Caenorhabditis elegans: one gene and its partners. Changing the gene in region 1 together with any one later gene gives a genetic interaction. Each region holds a gene or a part of one and is shown in the gene's direction. Other genes may lie near its edges.

What was found. A genetic interaction does not mean that the proteins touch.
Region 2: of spn-4 (region 1) and C50D2.1, a change in one rescues a mutant of the other (synthetic rescue), as found in Caenorhabditis elegans (one study listed by BioGRID).
Region 3: of spn-4 (region 1) and unc-15, a change in one rescues a mutant of the other (synthetic rescue), as found in Caenorhabditis elegans (one study listed by BioGRID).

What each region holds. Positions count from the first base shown.
Region 1 is NC_003283.11:6,781,929-6,788,412, reverse strand, and holds spn-4 (RRM domain-containing protein), read left to right. Parts: upstream 1-3,509; 5' UTR 3,510-3,510; coding exon 3,511-3,560; intron 3,561-3,607; coding exon 3,608-3,712; intron 3,713-3,758; coding exon 3,759-3,821; intron 3,822-3,869; coding exon 3,870-4,585; intron 4,586-4,638; coding exon 4,639-4,760; 3' UTR 4,761-5,226; downstream 5,227-6,484. Other genes in the region: ZC404.2 (ABC transporter permease), read right to left, coding at 3-108, 156-250, 430-438; spe-39 (Spermatogenesis-defective protein 39), read right to left, coding at 833-1,045, 1,098-1,201, 1,252-1,414, 1,467-1,782, 1,838-1,974, 2,025-2,186, 2,238-2,445, 2,492-2,652 and 1 more; ZC404.15 (uncharacterized protein), read right to left, coding at 5,285-5,460, 5,552-5,734.
Region 2 is NC_003280.10:108,954-116,520, forward strand, and holds C50D2.1 (Peptidase S1 domain-containing protein), read left to right. Parts: upstream 1-2,613; 5' UTR 2,614-2,733; coding exon 2,734-2,815; intron 2,816-3,464; coding exon 3,465-3,796; intron 3,797-3,849; coding exon 3,850-3,931; intron 3,932-3,978; coding exon 3,979-4,484; intron 4,485-4,535; coding exon 4,536-4,619; intron 4,620-4,673; coding exon 4,674-4,905; intron 4,906-4,963; coding exon 4,964-5,175; intron 5,176-5,220; coding exon 5,221-5,421; 3' UTR 5,422-5,507; downstream 5,508-7,567. Other genes in the region: C50D2.2 (Cationic amino acid transporter C-terminal domain-containing protein), read left to right, coding at 250-460, 514-764, 811-1,139, 1,196-1,568, 1,615-1,974, 2,032-2,277; K10B4.3 (Protein melted homolog), read right to left, coding at 5,515-5,739, 5,795-6,348, 6,398-6,521, 6,566-6,881, 6,933-7,432.
Region 3 is NC_003279.8:7,375,638-7,385,617, reverse strand, and holds unc-15 (Paramyosin), read left to right. Parts: upstream 1-2,420; 5' UTR 2,421-2,534; coding exon 2,535-2,651; intron 2,652-3,787; coding exon 3,788-3,844; intron 3,845-3,890; coding exon 3,891-3,977; intron 3,978-4,046; coding exon 4,047-4,157; intron 4,158-4,204; coding exon 4,205-4,260; intron 4,261-5,331; coding exon 5,332-5,551; intron 5,552-5,858; coding exon 5,859-5,963; intron 5,964-6,085; coding exon 6,086-7,017; intron 7,018-7,066; coding exon 7,067-7,196; intron 7,197-7,245; coding exon 7,246-8,022; intron 8,023-8,296; coding exon 8,297-8,323; 3' UTR 8,324-8,731; intron 8,732-8,796; 3' UTR 8,797-9,014; downstream 9,015-9,980. UniProt on the Caenorhabditis elegans protein: Structural component of the muscle thick filaments which is involved in assembly and organization of sarcomere myofilaments. Involved in ovulation.

The sequences.
Region 1 (6,484 bases):
CACTAGAATTTAACCGGATTAAGTGACCAGAAGATCAGGGTGGTAAACATTGCAGCCAACACAATGTAAATGAAGAGAAAATTCAGCGGTAGTTCTGTGGTGAGAAGTCTGAAAAAAATTCCGAATTTGAAATAAAATTTTGAAAAATTGCTCACCTTGAAACAGCGCCGGGCTTCTTTCGTCGTGGAGTTTTCGGTTTTCCACTCGAAATTGATGTTTTCTTAGAGCTGCTTGCAGTAGTCTTACTTGTCTGAAACAACAAATCTTTGAAATTGAGGTGCAAGCGCGCTCCATGGGTCAATTTGAATTTAGTGGTTTTCCGCCAATACCTAACGAGACCCATCTGTTGGGGGCGGAGCGTTTTCATTTTGACATGGAGCGCGTTTGTTTTCAAATCATTCTGATTATTCAAAAATAATTTTAACTTACCTTATTCATGATTTAGTCGAAATAAAATAAAAATAAAGGAAAAATAAAGCGTCGTGGAAATTTTTAAAAGTAAAAAAAAGTTTCACGGCGAATTTTTTAAAGAAATAAATAAAAGATAGAAAACAATAAATTTTATTTAAATAAATATCTATAACGACAAGTTTTTACATCTACAGAAAAAAAGAGAGAGCGAGGAACCAGTGAAAATGAATAATTCTTAATCATTTACAAGACTGAATAGTGAAATTATGTTATAGTATTAAGAAGTGAAATGATGCTCTATAATATGATAAGGATTGTGTATATTCTACAACTAACTATGCGTGAATGGAATTATGAAAGTGATGAGGGATGTGGTGAGGGTGAAAAAACATGTACAGTACATTGAAGCGAATTAATAAAATTACTTCCATTTTATCGACGGATTGTTGAGAGCCGCCACCGCTTTGAATGATTCCACAGAATTTGTTTTCAGAGATTTCGCGTATGAAGCCAGCGAGAGACGATCTCCTTTCTGTGTCAGACACTCGATGACCATTTCAGGAACATCAAATAGTAGTGCTAGGCGAAGACGTTCTTGTGCATCAGATTCGCCTTTCAGGATACGGTAGATGAACTGAAAATTTACACACATGAATAATAGGTATCTTGTTAAAACTATTCCTCACATCAGTCGGTGGAGATGGATGAGATCGTTTTACAATAGTCAGCAAATTGTGATTATTGATGGAAACTCCCCATTTACTGGTTGATTTTTTGCCTTTGAACACACCTGAAATTCAGTTAATTTAGATATTTTCTCAGCTAAAACCACAAAATTACTTTTAGCTGCACTGAACGTCATGGTGATAGTTTTCGGTTGAAGTAGCTTATCGATATCTGGCCAACGGCTTAGTCGAGTCAACGCTGAGACGATCGTTTGAGTGGCAAGTCGATCATTGAATCGGATCAATGTTTGAACTGATGGTAGAGAAGCTGCAGATGTCTGTAATACATCGATTATGAATGATTTTGCAACGTTCTGAAGAGTAATGTACCGGTGAATCGTCGTAATGGTACATCGCTGAATAATACAGTGACGATAGAGCAGGTAATCCAATTAGAGAGCTGGTTTTTGGAAACTTTCGGAAATGTTCTCCTTTATCTCCAGCATCCATTTTCTCCATTTGCAATTGGATTTCATAGTTTCTCATCAACGCTTCCATTTGTCGGGCTTCAAATTTCATTTCAGGAATTGAGAAGCTACCATGAAGCATGGTTCGGAGCAACGGGACTCGCTTGTCTGGATTTCGTTTGTATTTTCGCGTAGCTTCGAATTCAATGACAGATGCATGTTGATACTGACCAATGCTACTATAAAATGGGGAAATTGATTTCAACAAATTTTAATTTAGTTTTTATTAAATACCGTAAAAACTTGTTCATCTTGTCCCACTCGCCGGTGATCTGAAGATGTCGTGTGTAAACTCGGCATGCACTTTTCTGGCCATCCATTATTTTGCAGAATATGTTTTCCTTGAGAGTTCTCTCTAGAAAAATCACAATCTGTAAAGAAAGATAACTTTTTAAAAAATTAGTATCATAGCTGTTCGGACCTTGAAAATTGTATTATTGTCGTACGTGGCAACTGCTTGCTTCAAAAGTTGTGTCTTATCACGTAATGACCTATAGTAATCCAGTGTTACAGTATGCCCTTGAAGCATTCTCTTGATACTAGCCTCGATTGTAAGCGGCTGAAACCGTTCGTGGCGAAGAACCTAGAATCATAATTATCTTCAAAATTCTATATTAAAACTTTAATAGCTAACTTCGTGCTGATCTTTAAGTTTCCGATGTTCTTGTCTCAATCGATTATAATCCAAATCAAGACGTTGTGCTTCACTTGGTAAACTACTTGCACTTGCTTCAGAAACCACAGATGGAGCGGTCTGAATAACTGGCGCCACGTTAACGTTCTCAGCGAATTTCATGTTCAAGAAATCATCTACAATCTTGCCAGAAGCCCGAGGAGAGGTACTGCAAATTACTTATTTATATTCATAAAACAATGTAATTAACTTACTCTGTTATTCGAATATTCGCCTTGTCTGACACAGCAGCAGCTCTTCCGTCAATTTGCAGTGGAACATTTGTGGGAGTTGGCGTTGGGTTCTGCGGTCGGACGTACGGCTTCGGAGTCTCATCGCCACCGAAGAGATTGTCGACGGCTGCTCGAGCTTGAAGCTTTAATTTTCGTGTTAAACACATTGATTTGAGCAATATAATAATTAAGAAACGTGTTAATTTACTTTTTTTTCAATTTTTTAAAAGTAAAACATCTGGTCACGTTTATAGTTTTAAAAGATTTTTTTCGTTTTTTCTTAATATAATAACTACGTTAAAACTTACTTGTTTTGATTGTAAATCATCAAACAATCCGGATGAATTCGAGTCAGATTCATTCCAATAACTGTCTTCCGGAAGTTCAAAAGTGAATTTCCTTCGAAGGGCCATTCTTTATAATATTATCATTTCTTTTGCAAAGTATCTGAAAGAAACTATAAGAATGAGAAAAAATAGATAAAATTTTATGGGAAAATGGGAAAAGAATTCAATAAAAAATAAATGCAGAGAAAAAAAACGCAATTGACATGAAACGAGAAAAAGAGAAGAAAGGCAACTGCGTGCACGCTCCTTGCAAAAACTGCGTGCCAGGATTGCGAAGGCGGGGCTTATGAATGAAGCGCGAGTTTGAATCAAATAAAATTATTTTTTGCTCTTGGCCTAAAGAAAATCGAATTAAAGCTTTAGTTTCTAGTAATTCGTAAAATAATTTTTTTAATCGAAAATAGAACACAAAATTGTCTAGTTATATTAACTTTTAGACCTGATCCGACGTTCGTATGAACTAGAAATCTAGAAGATCACAAAGGCGCGAAATTTTGATTTTAGATTTTTCTGTAACTCGGTGGCGGGAAAATGTGAAATTATATTTTCAATCGTTTTATCATCATTTGGAATCATTTCTGCACTTGTCTTCTGTTGTCTTGTCTTTTCTTTACCCAGTTCCTCATTTTTCTTTATTCAACTTTTTTTTTCAGAATGCAAAACACACAGATATTTACTAACTTCGCTCACAGAGCACATGATGGGTATGTTTATCATTTTTAAATGTTGGTATTAAGTATTTCTTTTTCAGATTACCGTTTAACAGTGCGAATCCTTCCAACAAAGATCCAATTTTCACAATGCCAATATCGGTCAAACCGAAAACTCGTGAGCCGGCTTCTTTCACAGATAACAGGTAAATTTGTCGTGCCGTTTTAATGAATTCATCAAAAAACTTTTAGGATATATGTCAGCAATATTCCCTTCTCGTTTCGTGAACAAGATTTGGCGGCAATGTTCTTCGCGTGAGTTTTCAATTTACAACAAGTTCTGAATAAGAATATTAATTTCAGATATGGAAGAGTCCTGAGTGTGGAAATCGTCACAAATGATCGTGGATCCAAAGGGTTCGGGTTTGTCACACTCGATTCCATCGAATCCTGTGAGAAAGCTCGTGCTGCGCTTCACGAATCACATGTTCAAGGAAGAATTATAGAAGTGAGAAGAGCGACACCAACCCGCAGAAAGCTTATCAACAATCCACAAAATGAAGTTTTGCCACCACCAAAGCTGTGTGTCGATCTTCGAGCCCCTCATAATTTATGGAGAGCTGAGCCAATGCATCAGTTGTTCAAGGAAAAGGAGAACACAACATGTTTTCCCGAAGCTGGATTCATGATGGCACCATACCGTAGCAATGGAATTTTCAACACGCGTAGTCTTGTGCAGACCAAACCACCTCGATGCACCAAGCACAGCGAGCTCAAGCTTTCTTCAGCTGGTGAATACTTCTGCAAAAACGGCGAGCCTACGACGGAAACAAGTATTCTGATGTGCATGCACAGACAAAACTCACCATGCAGCAATAAGTGTTCTGATTCTTCGAATCACGAGCTGTCTGATGTGGAGTTGAACTCTATATTCCCACATCATCTTCGTGACCAGATTACTGCTCTTCTCGACACTTCAAACCATTTTGGATCAGGAAATAATAGTGCTAACAAAGGAAAGAGAGCACCATCTGTGACATCTTCTGGATTGAGATCATCAGAGAGCGAGACAGTTTCAGGTAAATAGTTTAGATTCTAGATTGTCGATTTTCATTTAAAAATCAAATTTTAGACGAAGAGATTCATTGGTCCCCACATAACAGCCCTGATTATCTTCTCGCTGCTCTCTACGAAGGTTCCACATCGTTCCACGGAAAGTCTGTTTCTCCACCAAAAGAATCGTCAAGCCAGTAATCAGTTCAACTGATACGCCCATTTTATTTCTACTAACTGCGTGTTTTGCATTTTATCGAACACCCCTAAACTTTCACTTAACCAAAAAGCTTTAACAAATTTTTTACGGAATCTTCTTGTACAGCGACACTCGTTGTCCTTGTCAAATGATTCGTTGCTAGTTTTTCTTCCCTGTAGCTTCTATATCGACCCCCCCGGTGTTATTTTGTAGGAATGCGTTTCAGCATCTTCCCTATTTTGCCATCTCTCACATACACTCAACATTAGCAATCGGAAAACAGATCTTCTATATTGAAAATATACTACCAGTCCGTTTAACCTACCTCGCTTGCTAACATTATTGAATGTGCCCACGTATTGTATTTTCTGAGCATCTTTCTGTTTTTTTTGTATTTTATAGACGCTGTGTTCGCCAGTTATTTTTGCATTCCTGTATTGCTCGAAGTCAAATGAAGTGCTTCGCCATATTCAATTGTTTTATTTTCAAAATCACCCGTTAATACTAGATTTCAGTTTGAATTTAATCACAGTTGTGAAAGATCATTATCCCGGCGTGTCATTGAGAGATCAAATGTTATCTTTCGGCACCTCTTGGCCTTCCTCCATTCATGATCAGAAGATTCACTCTCTTCTAAAATGACGTCGTGAGAGACTGCGGGAAGAGAAAAGGACGATGGCTGTCGGCACTTTGTGGATGCTGCTGGAAAAGTTTGGTGAATTTTGAAGTTTTGTGGTTTTTGATGATAACTTCAAAATGGATGGGAAAACACGAGAGAGAGAGAGAAACTTACGGATTTGAAGAGTGGGTGGAGAGGAAGGGTACAAACTGCTTCGCTCCTCATCATTTCCTGTGCCACGTCGACTTCGATTTTGACGACTTGAAAGTGTTGCGAAGAAGGACATTCGACGGGATTTCGATCGTCGACAACCACCGCTTACCCAACAAAATAGGCACGAAACAGGAATGAAGATACCTGAAATAAATATGCATTATTAGGCAAACTTGGAATTTTCATAGTTTTTTCCTATAGATTTTGATTTTCTCTAAAATTCCCCAGCGCCTATATTACAGGAACACTATTTACATTTTGAGAATGCGAATTGCACAACATCTGACGCGCAAAATATCTCGTAGCGAAAACTACAGTAATTTTTTAAATGACTACTGTAGTGCTCGTGTCGATTTACGGGCTCAATTTTCGAAAATATTTTCTCGAACTTTGGCAGCGATTATCAATTAAAATTATTTACAATTCGAAAAAGCGAAGCAAAATTGAAACCCGCTGTCCAAATTCGAAAAGAAAACATTTTCGAAAATCGACACGAGCACTACAGTAGTCATTTAAAAAAATTACTGTAGTTTTCGCTACGAGATATTTTGCTCAATACGCATTCTTGAAATTCAGTGTTCTCGTAATATCATATAGGAATGGCCCCTTAACACACTAAAACAAGAATCCCGACATGTAATTTGTCACCATCTTCGTTTTCTTCCCAAAAACAATATAGTTATTTTCTTTCCATATTTTTTGACGTCAACTTTCAAAATAGGCAATTATTTTCACCCAATCTCTTTCAGCACACCGCGGATTATGCATCTCTTTGCCTGCTTTGCGTTCACCGCTTATTCATCAACATGAGAAGAGCTCAGTGACGAGTTAAAACAAACAAGAAACGAAGAGTTCCGTCTGCAATTACTCCCTTTACTCGTTTCACCGAAAAAA
Region 2 (7,567 bases), on another chromosome or scaffold:
TTTTTCCATCTATGCGTTTGTTGTCTTTTTGTTGATCTAAATATTGCATAATTGATCGATTAATTTAATTTTTCTTTTCTAGGAAAAGCTGCCAGAAAATTCCCATTTTTACATAAAATTCATAAAATTTGGCGTTGAACTCAAAACTTTTACGATCGTTTCCTACTCTCCGCTTGCAACCTCAATTCAAACGCAACTTTTGATATTTCAGATAATTAGAAAACCAAAAGTTCAGGAACAAAAACAAAAATGTGCTTCTCGGCGCTTCGAGAACGTGTATTTCGTCTGAAAAACTTGCCGGCTGGTGAGATAGCAACCCCACTTCGAAGATGTCTGAGTACTTTTGACATTACTCTTCTTGGAGTTGGCCATATGATTGGCGCTGGAATTTATGTATTGACTGGGTCGGTTGTCAGAAACACTGCGGGACCATCAATTATTCTGTCTTTTTTGCTAGCAGGTAAGTAAACGGCGGCTTCAGTAAATTATTTCCATTTTTCAATATTTTTTAAGGTTTTGCATCTCTTCTCTCTGCTTTGTGTTATGCCGAGTTTGGAGCTAGGTTCCCAAAAGCTGGAAGTGCATACACATACACTTATGTTGGAGTTGGAGAGCTATGGGCTTTTGTTATTGGATGGAACATTATACTAGAGCACATGCTTGGAGCTGCTGCTGTCGCTAGATCATGGTCTGGATACTTGGATTCATTACTGGGAAATGTTATTTCAAATTCAACAATTGCTCGCACTGGGCACTTGCATGAAGTAAGCCAGTAAATGTTTTTATAAAATTTTGAATTCGAAATTCCAGGCTTCATCATTTTTCGGCGATTACCCTGATCTTCTCGCTTTTCTACTCATCGTTCTTGTGGCATTTTTTGTTGCTCTTGGTTCAAAAGTGTCCACTAACTTCAACTCTTTCCTAACAATTCTCAATATTGGAATTGTTGTCATAGTCGTGTTCTATGGTATAACGTTTGCTGATTTCTCTCTATGGAGTGGAGTAGATGAGAAAGGGAATTCGAGATTCTTTCCGTATGGAGTATCTGGAATGTTTGCTGGAGCTGCATCTTGCTTTTTTGCATACATTGGATTTGACGGACTTGCAACTGCTGGAGAAGAAGCTAAAGATCCTGCACGGTGAGATTAAAATTTATGTGAACTGAGTATGTGAAATCTTAGGTAATTTATTTTAGATCAATTCCAATTGCCACATTCTCCTCTATGACAATTGTCACACTCTCCTATGTTCTGATGTCAGCTTCCCTGACATTGATGATTCCATACAATATGGTTCATCCAACTGCAGCATTTTCTGATGCATTCACGATGCGTGGAGCAGAATTTGCAAGCTATGCGGTCTCGGTCGGTGCTCTTTTTGGAATGACAACTAGTTTGGTTGGAGGAATGTTTGCTCTTCCGAGATGTGTATTCTCAATGGCTGATGATGGACTTTTGTTCAGCTCCTTGGCATCCGTAAACCCAAAAACTCAAGTTCCAACTCAAGCTCTTCTTATTTTTGGATTCCTCACTGCAATCATTGCATTGCTTTTCGATATTACCACTTTGGTAAGCTGAAATACGTTTTAATATACTTTAAACAAAATATTTCAAGGTTGAATTCTTATCAATTGGAACTCTTCTTGCGTATTCTATTGTTTCTGCCTGTGTAATCGTACTTCGCTACCAACCAGCATATAATGTTGATGAGGGCCAATTCGACAATGGAGGAAAACTTCGATTCAGCATTCCATTCTGTGGCTTCCTTGATAAACTTCAGCCAGGACACTCGATTTATTATGGGATGAGCGTAATGATTGCTTCAATGTTCTTCTCAGGCCTTGGATTCAGTTCTGGATATTTATATGGAACTGTTCTCTGCCAAATATTCTTGCTAGTCAATATTGCTCTGATAATTCTCTCATTCCTCTTTATCTGCGCTCATTACCCCAATAATACTCCACTGGATTTCAAGGTATGATTGATAATTTACGCAGGAGATTTTTATGTATAATGTAAATATTCCTTTCAGGTACCTCTCGTTCCTCTTATTCCTGCCCTTTCACTCTTAATCAACACTTTGATGATGGTTCATCTTGCTTGGATCACATGGCTCCGGTTAGTTGTTTGGATGAGCATTGGTTTTGTTATCTATTTTGGATATGGAATTCATCATAGTAAAGAAGAAGTACAAGACGCTGAAAAGTTCTCGAAGAGCTCCACGTATGAGTCCGTGGTGTCTGGAGTAGTGGCTGGAGCTGGAACGACGTCTCCGTGATTATACCTTCTAAACTCATCAGTTCTGTAAATAAACCGCAGTCTCCTTTTTATATTAATTTATGTTTTCTTTAAATATCAAATCTCTCCAAATGAACACTGGTTCCTCTCGTTTGTACGCATTTCCTGTCTGTGCTTCCTAGTATTTTAGTTACTTTCATTTCTTAGTATTTTTGTTTCCTTGTTAATAAAAAACTTGTAAAATCTCAGTTTTCTAAAACAACCATAGTTACGCAATTATCAAATACATATTCATTACCCTTTCTTATCACTAGCCGCCTCGCAATTTTGCCCGATTTTATGGAAAACGAGACAAAAGGATAAGCCTCGAGGCAAGGGACTGGGCGGCGGATGACGCGAGAAATCTCGTTTTTCGAGTTTCCACCTTTTTGATGATGAAGACGTAATCCGAATCAGAAGGAGACACTGGCATTTTTTATTCTCACCGGGACACACAATGAGGAGGAACCTCGTGGATATTTTCTACATTTCCTTACTAATATTTATATCTGGTTTGGTTTTTTGCACAGATGCTTCGGGTAAATATTCTTAATATTTTTACTGTCAAAAAGTGGCAATTAATCAGTTTTTTGCTACTCATAATTTTGGAAGTCGACCAAACATTTTTTTCCCTGCATTTTTTATACTGTAATTTTGTTTTAAATATTTGTATTAAAACATTGTAGGGGTCGGAAAGTGCGATATTGCTTTGGATTTCCTCAAAACCTCTTTTTTTTTTCAAAATTTTGGCAATTTGCAAAAAACTTGATATTTGGATGTTTTGGATTATTATAAGTATATTTAGACAAAATCCCCACTGGCGCTACTTCACCTTCAATACATATTTTTTTAAATTTATTCATTCATAAACTGTTGAACATAATTGTAAGAGCATAATTTGATAATCGCGGGGAACTTTAAATGCGCACTGCACCTCTTGAAATCATTTGGGAGTAAGTTTTCCAGTCCCTTTTAATTTTGTTTTTTGTTGCAAGATTTATCAAAATTCGTGTGAGCTATAATAATAATTCAACTGCCCGTAGTACGGCTAGATGAATCATCTCAAAATTGAAGTCGGAAAACTAATCGGAAAATTCAAGTATAGCCTGCCTTATCTGTTAGCTTTATCATTTATACCGGGACAATTTTCATAAAACGCAATTCCTTATCACCAAACATCTTTTTCAGTTATCAATCGAAGATTACGTCGAGACACAGAAGCGCCCATTGCGCGTGGTTTCAATCGAGAAATTCGGCGAAAACCGCCTGCAATTCTTCAATTAATCGGTCCGTTGGCATTTGGAAGAAAAGATGGAGACGATGCAAAAATGCACGTGCCAATGTTAGGCCAATTTGGCGTTGGAGATGTTAGTCAAATGACCGCAAAGTTTACTCCGGAAGGATCTCAAGGTCAAAAAGCGAATGGAGGAACATTTGATATTGATGATGAAAAGGGACCTCAGTTAGGATATATGGATCGAGAGACAACCATGGGAGAAAGATCGGGCAGCACTGGAAAAGTAAGATCATGTGTTTAACAGGATTTTCAGAGTTTTAAAGTTTCTAATTTCAGATGTCTTTTGGAGGTCTAGGAAACATTGAGATGGGAAATATAAACGAGCAAGGAACTGGGCTTCTAGACTTTTCAAAATCTCGTAAGTCAAGTCAATTGTTTGAAATATATAATTACAACATTTTCAAGTTTTCCCGTTTCTACAACTTCCTGCTCTCAAAAACGAAACCGAAAACGTGAAAGAAGAACATACACAAGTTGATCAAACTTATACCGACTATTACTATCCGAAACCCAGATCTTACTTGGGATCTTCTTACGATATTAATCGCCCTCAAGTAGGCGCAGCAGAGTCATTAGTGTCGCTTGGAAAAAACCGAGAGGACATTGAGTTCCCGAAGCTAGTAACTCAAGAGCCACCGAAGAAGTACAGTAACCCATTTGACAGTGTTCAAATTCGTCCGAGAATTCACGCGGCTGTTACGAAGACAGTAGATGATAAAGATTTAAATTCAAAGGAAGGATTTATTGCTCAAAACGGAAAGCAAGTGGACCCGGATGAAGATACAGCGCCGCTTTTGACTGCTGAGCACAAAGTGTCGCAAGTGACAACTAGAAAGTCTATCCATGAAGTTGGTCTGTCCGTTAAAGAAATTTACGCACTTTGTGCAAAATTTGCACCAATGGCAAATCAGGTAAATGATAGAACACAATCAATTTTTACCACAAATTAAATTTTGTTTCAGCATTGCTACAAAAGTAAAGTCGAAGAACAATTCATTGAAAGATGCAGAGGATATCAAAAAGATTGCGTTGAATTTATAGCAAAAGTCAGTTGATTTGACAGATTTCTTAAAAATTATTCAACAATGTTAATTGTATAGGCTCGCCCACTTGGAGCAATTGCCAATTCTTTCTCTTCTGGAGTTGGTCTTACGTACTACGACTGGAATGTCAACGGAATCCCGTACTACCCTGTAAACGAGGAAGGTTCCATTGGAAACGGCCATCATGGAAAAGTAGATTTTGGAACGTGGGGAGGAGGATATTCTGATAATCTTGGTGTAAGAGATTTCTGGTCTCAAACCCAAGAATATGGAGCTAACTGGTACGAAGGTAGGATTTTACGGCTCAAAAAATTTTTTTATAATTTTAAGTTTTTTAACGATTTCAGGCCAGTATGGATACAAAACTGGATGGAGTATTCCAATTGTGCAGGGAATTGGAGTTGAAGGAGGTCAAGGAACGCAAGTCTCAGTGCCAATCAAAGAAGGAGAGCTCGGAAGACCGATTTCAGTGACTAATGGGTACCACGTCGGGCCATTTATGGGATTAGCAGATAGAGTTGGAGTTGATTGGCTCAACGGGGGAGTCTCGTGGAATAAGGTATGCAAAATCTTGGTAATTACAAAAACGCAGGGTTGTTTTCAGGGTTTCGCTGTCCCATTCGTTGGAGTTGGTGTGAATACCGGAACAGCTGTTGGGTTCCCTAGTGTCGGAATGATAATGAACAGGATGGGTATGGACGGAGTAGAAACTCTGAATAACATGGCAAGAGCAGCGGCTGCCCAGACGGCACAAGTGGCAGAACATAGATCTACCTCCATTGACATTGGAAATCTGTATCAATAATCTATCTTTAATCATTGAATTTCTGGAATCTCGTGCAATGTTTTCAACTAATAATTATTGTAAATAAAGTTTATAATATTAAAATCAGGTGAATTAAGCCAATTCCCTTCTTGCATGAGCCATTGCAATCTGTAGACAATGAAGCCATTCCTCCGCATTTTTTTCATCTTTGGCTTTCAGAATCATTGATGTATTGTCAGCTGTGAAAATTTCAAATGCCTTTCTTAGACTCTTTCTAGCTTTCTTTCCACGACCGAGCGATCTGACAGATCGGATAGAACGAAGATCGATTGAGGGAAGGAGTGCTCGGGAATCAGTCTGAAAAGTGACAGAAATGATGTATCAAAATTTCCGATTCCGGAAAAAAACGTACCGGCATATGTTGTGTGCTATAATTCAATGCAGCCGATGACAAGGTAAAGTATTTGGTGTTCCATCGTTTCAAAAACCTCCATCGCCCTTTTTTCTCTTTCAACTGTCCTTCCAATACTTTTTCGGCGCCTCCTTCTTCAACAAAGTATTTCACTTTTTCAGGATTCGTACAACTAATGCAATTCCACATATTATTCGTAGAGTCCATTGTAAAACAAGCGAAAAATCCAGCTTCGTCAAGTTCCTTAATCAGCTTGTTCTGGTCTTTTGAGTTTGGAAAAGCTGCAGTGATCATTGTATCAAAGGGAACACTTTTTGTTATAGAACTCGGTAAACACTTCCAACAATGTTCAAGCGTTTGGTACTGCTGTGAGTCCTTTCCGACAACTTCACCGAATTGGGTTATTGCCGAACATTCCATTTGCAGAAACATGAAATGAAGCCAAAATGCTGGATATTTAGTTTTAAATGCAAATAGGTATTCCTTGGTGAATACACAACATGGCGAAGAACGAGTTTGACACGAGAAGTGAATGACCATGCGGTGTTTGGAGTCTGGAATATCGGTTAATCGTCATTATGAATCAGCTATAACAACTCTTACTTTTTGAGCCTTCAACAGTGCATTGCACAGGAACTGGAAATCTTGCGTTCACTTCTCCAATATACCGACGAATTTTATTTTTTCGATGCTCAACAAACTTGTAGACAACATCATTACGATCATTCTTGAATTCCAAAATTAGGGGGTTTTCAAAAATAAAAAACTCACATTGATCCACTTCTCGTCTTCTTCATTCAAAGCACACATTTTTGAGGTGGTGATTGGGCCCAAATGAGCTGGAAATGTAGTTTCTGTGCTTCCAGCTGGCCATTGTACAGGTCGACGGCCTCCGCCAACAGGTCTCACTCGCCCATCTTTTCCCATTTGAATTTGAGTCATTGCCTGAGGAGCAAACGCGTGTGGAAGTGTTTGAATGCGAGAAGTAGAAGATGACGTTGGTTGTGCCAGTAGTACATTTGTTCGGGAACTTGATGGCATCGAGATCATTGAAAGTTCACGAGACTCGTTGATATCAGAATATGGTCTAAATTGTTTTTTTTTTCAGTGAAGACTATACCTGAATGAATACACTTACCCGTGAGTTCCAGCTCCTAGCGAATGAGCGATGCTAGCGTGACTCCGACGACTTAAGCTTCCACTTGACCGATTGTTCTGGTACTGCATTGCCAGTGAATGCGTATTCCTATCGAGCTCACACAATTCCACTGTTGGAGAGTCGCAAACTTCGAAAACAGTTCTTCCGCCACTAGTAATCAGGTTTCCAAATACTTTAGAATTCTTTGAAAGCAGCGACTCTGTTGATTGCTCTTTGATATCGTACGACATGATATTTTCACTATTGTTAGGATTTAGATGCGCCAAAATCCGTTCAATAATTCTACTCGTTGGAAGTGTTTGGAAGAACGATACATGTCTTCTAAGAGAAGTTGGATGAATTGATCCGATTGCATCAATTTCATTCAGAACTGTTTGGAGTATTTGCTGATCCGATGAGTTGTTTCGAGCCATTAGAACAAGCTCGTCGACTGCTTCAGAAGCAAGTGGGGAGGACACACGACCTATGTTTGCAATTATCTGTAAAGAAAGCAGGATACATTAAATAATATTATTTAATTTTTTTGAACATTTGACTTTTTAGACACAAGTACACTTCGTGTGTTTTTGCTGTTTGTGTTTAAAAAACCAAGAAAGATGGGACAAAGACTTCAA
Region 3 (9,980 bases), on another chromosome or scaffold:
ACATGTTCCCTCTAATATTCTTTTGAAGATTGATCTCATGTTTCGGCTGAAATTTTTCATTATCGTCCTCCTTTGCTGAGTATCTATATCTCTTTTCCTCCCAGTTGCCAATACTTTAAAACAATAATGCGGGGCCGAAAAATGCTTCTTCATTCTTGCTCCTCGAGTAGCACAGAGAGAAAGATCCTCTGTGCTCCCGGACCCTTCTGCCATTTCAACGAAGGCACAAAAAGAAATGTGATAGAGAAGCATGTGTAGTAGAAGAAGAGTGTGAGATGTGGGCTTGTCACTGAAGAGTTCAGAGAGTGTACGGTGGCAAAAAAAGATATTGAGATGGCAGTGGAGACCGATGAGAGAGAATGGGCGGCTTCTGGAGGGAATTCTATTGAAGAGATTCTTTGTAATGATCACGAAAAAAATGGATGGACAAAAGATGGAAAGGTGACAAATATATAGCTATTAATCAAAATTGCATAACTTAAAAATATGCAAATATCTTTAAAAAATGTTGTTTTTAGATCTTCTCCTAATAAAAGGAATAGTGCTAAAAACAAAAAAGATAAAATGAAATACGGTCTACAAGTATATTTCACTTTAACATGTTTCACTGCATAAATCTGGAAGATATCAACAAATTAAAATGCTTTGATCTACCTTTGTTTTGGATAGTTGTCTACAAAATGATAAATCCAGTAGTTCCAAGTTTCTATCTTGAGAGAAAACTTACAGCATTATTAGCATATATTCTCGAAGTTATGTTAAAAATAATTTTAACAAGCGGCAGCACTGCTAGAAATCTTGTGGAAATCGTATGCAAGGTTTAACCAAAATCTGGCCTTACTAAAGTCTAACAAAAACTATTCAAAGGTATGTCCACTCTTTGTAAAAGTTAAATATAAATGGTCTACCGTTTTCTATTACATTTTATAAGTTTTTGTCACGTTTTGGAATGGAAATGTGCGACAATCGATATTTCCTCAGAAAGTTGTTAGCGGGGTAAAACCATCCTAGTTTTTGCAATCAATAAACATCAACTTACAATGTTCAAGATTTTTTCTTTATAATCAAATCTGAAATTAAGTTCAAACGAATGTCAGTACATTTCACCATCCCCTGCTTCTGCAACCAACTAATTATCTCGGTCATCACGATTTGTCAGCTGACACTGCTCAACAAGAGTATTTTGTTGTCTGGTTGATCAGTCGTAATGGAAGTAAAATTCTGAAAATTTAGAAAAGATTTTGAAATTTCACAACACTTATTTAAAAATGACATGAGTCACAAGAAGTAACGGGATTTGGAGTGAAAACGTTGATTTTTTGACGTCATGACACAATTTCAGTTTGAAAATCAGTTTATCAAGCCTATTTTTCATTAATGAAAAAACATTCGGAAGAGCCGATATATTGGAAATTGAATACCAAGTTATTATAGAAGTAATAAAAACTTGATTTCATCACAATTTGTTGTGATACGCTCCCCCACCCCCTCACACACGCACACACACACACATTCTCCGGGATACACTCAATTATTACACACTTCGCACTTATTTCTTCAGAATATGAGATCCAAGAACTTTTTAAAACATTGATCAGATCATATATGACAAGGCTATCAATTAAGGAAGTGTATTAATAGATATGGACAAGAAGAGAGCATAACTATCTGTAATTAAGGAATTTCAAATAGTTGACAACCGAGTTTTGGAATTCTTCAATATTTCGACTGTATAGACGTATTACCATTAATAGAAGACTTTTATAAATTTATGAAAATGGATCATCTAAAAGGTAACAGTATAGTTCTGAGAAACTTTAATGAAAATTGGAGACAACCCAGGCTTGAAGAGCCTGAATAAAGTAAGAGTTGATTACTGATAGGTGGAATGGCATTCGATTAATGGCAGTTCAGTCTCGCTTTTTCTGGTTTTGTGTTTCTTTTTTCTTAAGTGGTCTTCGTTTTACTATCCGTTCGTCAAAGTTCACACCTGCCCTTTCGGACATTCAAAAGGCACACACAAACACGAGTTGAAGTTTTTGGTGGATCCCGATGTTTTTTGTCTGTGCTCATCCCTTTTTGCTGAATTTCTTCCGTGTCGCCTCAACCCGAACCAAACCAATATCATTCGAATGTTTAAAACCTCCTGGCCCGCGGGTGCCTGATGCATCGTCTGCGCTTCGGCTCTCGGCGCGCTCTTCTCGAGATCGTATCCCGCCAACTCGTTGGCAAAAACACAATGGCATTTATCAGATACGCAGCGTAGAGTGGGAGGGTGGCTCAGTGCTAGGCAAGAAGGATTACACTGAGGCTCCTCTCTCGCTCCCTGCCGGGCACACTACCTTCGTAGAAGTTGATGATGAGAGATACTTGGAGACAGAGAGACGATCGACGACGCAACGGCGCGGGATGAGATATGTGTGTATGTGTCTTCCCGACGGCAGAGCCCCAACGCACAATCAGTCAGTCTCGAAGCAGCCAGCCAGCCAGCAGCACACACAGGGGCACCATCCATTTGAATACTCCATTTGATCATGTCATTGTATCGTTCGCCATCCGCTGCTCTTCTTAAGAGCCCGTCGCAAGCAGCGTTCGGTGCTCCATTTGGCAGCATGTCCGTCGCCGATCTTGGATCACTCACCAGACTCGAGGTAAATTTTTGAATGTTTTCTACCATTTCTGAACATTTCACTGCCAAAACCCCAAAACCCGTGTTCCATTTTTCATCGAATCGATGTTTCATTGACTGATATTTTGAATTATATCTGTAATTTAAATTTTAGTAAAAAAGGCATCTAATATAGCAACGAAGAATTGAAAAACTTGAAAAATCTCAAATTGTAGTTTTACAGTACTCCTCAGTCTCAAGAAAAATGTTTGTTTTGTCCCTAAATTGAATGATTGACAAATAACGGCGTTTTCAGTTTTGTAAATATTATTTTTCTGCATCAAAATGTATGGAATAAAACAATATTCCGAGCCAAAACACTATTTTCAGAAAAATTTTTAAACTTCCTAGTTTTCTCTATAATTAAACCTTTAGATTCCTTATTCTAAATCTTCATTTTGAAAAATCTGTTCATCATTCATCTCGGCAACTAGTTTCTTTGTGTAACTAAGATTTGCAACCTTTGTTTAACTTACTGCTTGCTTACATATATTTCCAAGAAAAAGTAGAACCCTAATTCTCAGATTTTCAAATATAGCACTTATAAAAAACAAAAATTACGCTTTTTTTCTTTGAAAAAACAATTATTTTTTGACCCCATATTTTCTCATGGTTCTAGCTACTGAATTTGCGATTATTGCCAATTGCCTGCAAAAACATTTTGTCAATTAAAATAAAAACAATTACCAAATCATTCGCTGGTCTATTTCCAAAAAATGCACTCTACGTCTCTCATATCTATAAGCTATTTTCACGTTTCTCTTATAATCTCCCACACTGTGTTGTAAAATTTCGAAGAAACCTAATGCATTATTTGTTAAGCTTAGATATCAATTCAAAAAAAAAACTAAATGGTAATATCGAATTGTATGCTACGAGTGTATTCTTGTCGTTTGATCTCAAGAAATTCCGGGACATTTAAATTTGTGACGTCAGGATGTTTATCTTCACAGTACTTTAAAAATATTCCCCACTCGGCACTAAATTTATAGGTCCGTGTAATAAGGTTCATCAAGAAGTTCAATCAGAATCGGAATCCATACTTTTTTTATCTGAATCAGTTCTTGAAACAATTAATTCTTCAAAGATTTTACAAATTAATACAGTTTCACTTTTCAGGACAAGATCCGTCTTCTCCAAGAGGATTTGGAATCAGAGCGCGAACTCCGCAACAGAGTGAGTTTTTACCTTTTATCTCTGATACCATGATTGCCATTTTCAGGTTGAACGTGAGCGTGCCGATCTCTCCGTTCAAGTTATTGCTTTGACTGACAGACTCGAGGATGCCGAGGGAACCACCGACAGCCAAGTGAGTTTCCAGTTTTTATGAATTTCAATTTAAAGAAACATCTTATACCTTTAAACATTATAATTACAGATCGAATCGAACCGCAAACGTGAGGGAGAACTCTCAAAGCTTCGCAAGCTCCTCGAGGAGTCTCAACTTGAATCCGAAGATGCCATGAATGTTCTCCGCAAAAAGCACCAGGTACAGTAATCTTTATGCTATAGCTTAAAGAATTCGTGAAATTTTAGGATTCCTGCCTCGACTACCAAGATCAGATCGAGCAACTCCAAAAGAAAAATGCCAAGTAAGTTATTATCTTTATTTTCTAAGTTTTTTTTCGTATTAGTACTTGTGCCTTCATTTTCTTCTTCTTCTTCTTCTATCTTCCCGCGTTGAAATGGCAGCGGAGGAGTTGGCGGCTCGGCAGAAGCTCTGAAGAAGAAGTATAAGAAGATGAAGAAGCATCAGCTCAAAGTGTGTAAAATAACAAACGTTTCTCGTGTGTGTGTGTTTGTTTCGCCTTCCAGGAAGAGATGAGAGAGATACAAGAATGTCTGCGTCTTACTGATCTTCTCAATATCTCTCACATTTCTCTCATTGATCTTGATGCTTGGCGAGCAATCTGCGTTCCCGTGAAACAGTGGTGGTGGTAAAAAATAATGAGATTAAGTTGGGATGAGAAGTTGAGATGAACGGGAAGGGGACAGCTTGAGAACTTGAATGACGAATGCATGAACATATTATAGAATATTTAAAAATGTAGTAAGGATCAAACATTATTTGTTTCATAACAAGGGGTTGCTAGCCTAGTCTTGCACCTCCTATCCTCTAGTTTTACAGCTCATATCTCGGTTATTTTTCATTTATGAACACATTTCAACAACAAAAATGCGTGAGAAATCCTGTATATTAATAGGAAAAATACTGTATTTTTCCCATTTAAATTACGATGGATTCATTTTATGATGTCTCTTTTTTTTGCTCAAATAACTTTCAATGAAATCAAGGAAAATCTTCCGTAATTTAAAACACATTTCTAGAATCTATGTTAATCTTTTAAACAATGTACATAGATGATCTATTCAGTTGTAAAATAAGTTTTAGTTGTTCCCTTCTTGCGTTCAAAAATCTTCGAGTTCAACTTTCCCATGAAAATAATTGTGTGCAACTCTTGACGTAATGTTTTTAAATCCAAAATTAGTTTATACTTTTCCACCCACTATCAATAGTTTCACCTGTCCAAACCGGCTGCTTTCTGACATCATTCATAGCCAAACATATTGTTGACACATCAAGAATTACTTGTTCGCCGCTGCTTGACTTTTTGTTAAATTCCAAATATCCTCCCATCCCACGCAATATCATCATCATTCAGGATCGACCGCGAACGCCAACGCGTCCAACACGAAGTCATCGAGTTGACCGCCACTATCGACCAGCTCCAGAAGGACAAACACACCGCTGAGAAGGCCGCTGAGCGCTTCGAAGCCCAAGCCAACGAACTTGCCAACAAGGTCGAGGACTTGAACAAGCACGTCAATGACCTCGCCCAACAACGTCAACGCCTTCAAGCTGAGAACAATGATCTTCTCAAGGTTTGTTTTTTGAAGTATCATGTGTATAATCTCTAGTTTTATCATCTTTATCACGTGCCACCGATCACTCTGCTCATCTTTCTACTTTTTTTTAGCAAAAAAATGCGGTAAAAAGAAAAAAAGAAACCCCTTTTAACAGGGGGTTTCTTTACTAAATTCTCTATTTTATCGCTACTATTTCCGCAGAGTGTGTGTGCAAATAGAGTACTCGAGATATTAGAAAGGAGGATGCTCTGTGAGCCTCATCGTTTTTTTGTCTCGTTCAGTGTGTTCTGTTAGCAGATCAGGGATCGTTAATGTTTTTCAGGAGGTTCACGACCAGAAGGTTCAACTCGATAACCTTCAACACGTCAAGTACACCCTCGCTCAACAGCTCGAGGAGGCCAGACGTCGTCTTGAGGATGCCGAGCGCGTAAGTCTACTAGTCCAAAGTGCCAAATTCAGAGGCGGAAATATCGGGTTTCTTCCTCTGACGCATTTCTGGACATTAAAAAAGCATAAACGTGCGAAGATCAAAGAACGTTGAAATTTCAGGAGCGCTCCCAACTTCAATCTCAACTCCACCAGGTTCAGCTCGAGCTCGACTCGGTCCGCACCGCTCTCGATGAGGAGTCGATTGCCCGTTCCGATGCTGAGCACAAGCTCAACCTTGCCAACACTGAGATCACCCAGTGGAAGAGCAAGTTCGATGCTGAGGTCGCCCTTCACCACGAAGAAGTTGAGGATCTCCGCAAGAAGATGCTCCAGAAGCAAGCTGAGTATGAAGAGCAAATCGAGATCATGCTCCAGAAGATTTCTCAACTCGAGAAGGCCAAGTCTCGTCTTCAATCTGAGGTCGAGGTTCTTATCGTTGATCTTGAGAAGGCCCAGAACACCATTGCTCTCTTGGAGCGTGCCAGAGAACAACTCGAGAGACAAGTTGGAGAACTCAAGGTCCGTATCGATGAGATCACTGTTGAACTCGAAGCTGCTCAACGCGAACTCCGTGCCGTCAATGCTGAGCTCCAGAAGATGAAGCATTTGTACGAGAAGGCTGTCGAACAGAAGGAGGCTCTTGCTCGCGAGAACAAGAAGCTCCACGACGAACTTCACGAAGCCAAGGAGGCTCTTGCCGACGCCAACCGCAAGCTCCACGAGCTCGACCTCGAGAACGCCCGTCTTGCCGGAGAAATCCGTGAGCTCCAGACTGCCCTCAAGGAGGCTGATGCTCAACGCCGTGACGCCGAAAACCGCGCTCAACGTGCCCTTGCTGAGCTCCAGGCTCTTCGCATCGAAATGGAACGTCGTCTCCAAGAGAAGGAAGAAGAGATGGAGGCTCTTCGCAAGAACCTTCAATTCGAAATCGACAGACTTATTGCCGCTTTGGCTGATGCCGAGGCCCGCATGAAGTCCGAGATCTCTAGACTGAAGAAGAAGTACCAGGCTGAGATCGCTGAGCTCGAGATGACTGTTGATAACCTTAACAGGTAAATACTAATTTTTTCAACATTCAACCCTTAAATTCATAAATTACAGAGCTAACATCGAAGCCCAGAAGACCATCAAAAAGCAATCGGAGCAACTCAAGATTCTCCAAGCCTCATTGGAGGATACTCAACGTCAGTTGCAACAAGTTTTGGACCAATATGCCCTCGCTCAACGCAAGGTGAGTTATCATTTTTGTGGTCTCTTAATTCATTTTTATATATGTTTAGGTCGCCGCTCTCTCTGCTGAACTCGAGGAATGCAAGACCGCTCTCGACAACGCTATCCGCGCCCGTAAGCAAGCCGAGGTTGACCTCGAGGAAGCCAATGGACGTATCTCCGACCTTATCTCCATCAACAACAACCTCACCTCCATCAAGAACAAACTCGAGACTGAGCTCTCCACCGCTCAAGCTGATTTGGATGAGGTCACCAAGGAACTCCACGCCGCTGATGAGCGCGCCAACCGTGCTCTTGCTGATGCTGCCCGTGCCGTTGAACAACTTCATGAGGAACAAGAACACTCGATGAAAATCGATGCCTTGAGAAAGTCTCTTGAGGAGCAAGTCAAGCAACTCCAAGTTCAAATTCAAGAAGCTGAGGCTGCCGCTCTTCTCGGAGGAAAGAGAGTCATCGCCAAGTTGGAGACCAGAATCCGTGATCTTGAGACCGCTCTTGATGAGGAAACCAGAAGACACAAGGAGACCCAGAATGCCTTGAGAAAGAAGGATCGCCGCATCAAGGAGGTTCAACAACTCGTTGATGAAGAGCACAAGAACTTCGTTATGGCTCAAGACACCGCTGATCGTCTTACCGAGAAGCTCAACATCCAGAAGAGACAACTTGCTGAGTCCGAGTCCGTAACAATGCAAAACCTCCAGAGAGTCCGCAGATACCAACACGAGCTCGAGGATGCTGAGGGCCGTGCCGATCAAGCCGAGTCCAGCCTTCACCTCATCCGTGCCAAGCATCGTTCATCTGTTGTCACCGGAAAGTCATCCTCCAAGGTATTTTAATTTTCTTTTTTTGTTGAAAATACTTTGATTTGTCAATACTTTAGATTTTATGTTAAACGCTCATAGTTAGAATAGACAAATACTTTAATCAAAAATGGTTCTAATTTCAATAAGAAAATTTCAAGAATTGTTTTTGTCTGTGTCGGAAAACAGAAATCCTGAGCAACTACTACTTATCATTTTATCTTTAAAAAAATTTGTTCCCAACACCTTAATTATTTTACGTCACTTGTTTTTCACATTTTTCGTTTGTTTTTTCTTGCAGATTTTCGTCACGGAAGACGATTATTAAACATCCCAAAAAGCGTCGCCATACATCAAATCATCAAATAAATTGCTAATAAGATGTGTATAATTGTTTTATTTTTCTTCTCTATTTCTTTCATGTTCTTCTTCTCTTTCTTTTTAAATTTTCAATTATTTCTCTCCCCAACAAATGCGCCCATCCGCTTTTTCTATCGTTCTTCCATCACTAAATCTTCTCGACTATCTTTTTGTTCTGTCCCACTGCCCCTCGTGCTTCTGACTGACTGTCCCCCAATCAATATTTCGAACAATTAGGTCAATCGAGCGACATCATTTCCCACCCACAATTCATGTTTTCCCATCAATTTTTAATACAAATTTATTCAATGTTCCATCCAAACCATCCCGAGTCCCTGGTTGCATAAGAAATCGTCGTCAATAAAAATTTTGATACAAATTAAGCCTGAAATTTCAAAGTAAAACAATAAAATCAAAGTCTTGACGAGATCGCTACCTGCAGATGAGATGATGCAATCGCAACCAGGATACGGTAGAAATTGTGGTATGCGCTGTTTTCTTCTCATATCCCATTACTTTCCTACTTCTCTTCAATTTTAATATTCAAAGTTTCGCCTAGATGATAATTTTTGTTGTTTTATCCAATCAGTTTTTATCATTCGGGCCACAAAACACCCCCGTTTCACAACAATAAAAAATGTTAAAAACAAATTAAAAAATATTTTATTTCAAACATTATTGCTCCAAGTCTGAAATTATTCCAGATGGAATCACATCCGAATAGACTTTAAAGTTAGAGAAGCGCCCGTGAGAGCTGTGATATTTGGTAATTTCAGTAGAATAAGATAATTTTTGGAAATTATGCCAAAAATCCAAAATGTCATTTTTCATGAAGAAGGTAATTTCTTTTTATTGTGAAATTCGCTCTGAAGCATTTTTGAATTGGTTCCATATTTTGAAAGCTTCAAAATGGTGTAAAAAATAAATAAGATGTATTTTCAAAGTTCACGATAATAACCCGCTTGACTACTTTCAAAAAAAATTGTTCTAAGAATACCGGAAAGTGTATGGAGTCTGGAAACTGAAAAACACTGAAATATAACATTTTGATTAGTACTTGAAAAATAGCAATAATTGAATATACATTTTAAATTAAAAGTGAACTCAATATCATATTTTCTAGGAATTCTTATTTTTATAGACACTTTTTATAGATTGTAAAACAATTTCAGAATCAATTTTATAAATTGTTTATTGTTTATAGCACATTGTTCCCATAGAGCACATTATTCAATTATTTTGTAATAATTGAGAAAGCTACATTTCAATTCGGTTACTCTCGATGTTCAGAAAAACAGAAATAAACTAATTGCGTAAATAATTCTATTTGGCCCGGTGCATTTAATAGATTAATCATTGAACAAAAGACCAAATAGAACTCAATTTCAAGTATTGTTTAAAAATTATGAAATGATCAATATAAAAATATCTTAAAAAAGGTAAATGCATTATTATTTTTCAAAAATTTCTTTTCAAATTTGCAATTACGTTTCATATTCCATGAGTTTTGGAAACATTTTTACTTTAGTAATTCTTCAAGAATCTCGAATTTTAATGTAGAATTTGGCTAATAACCAGGTATTCTTGGAAGTTCTCAAAATAATTCTCAATCAGCATCGTTAAAC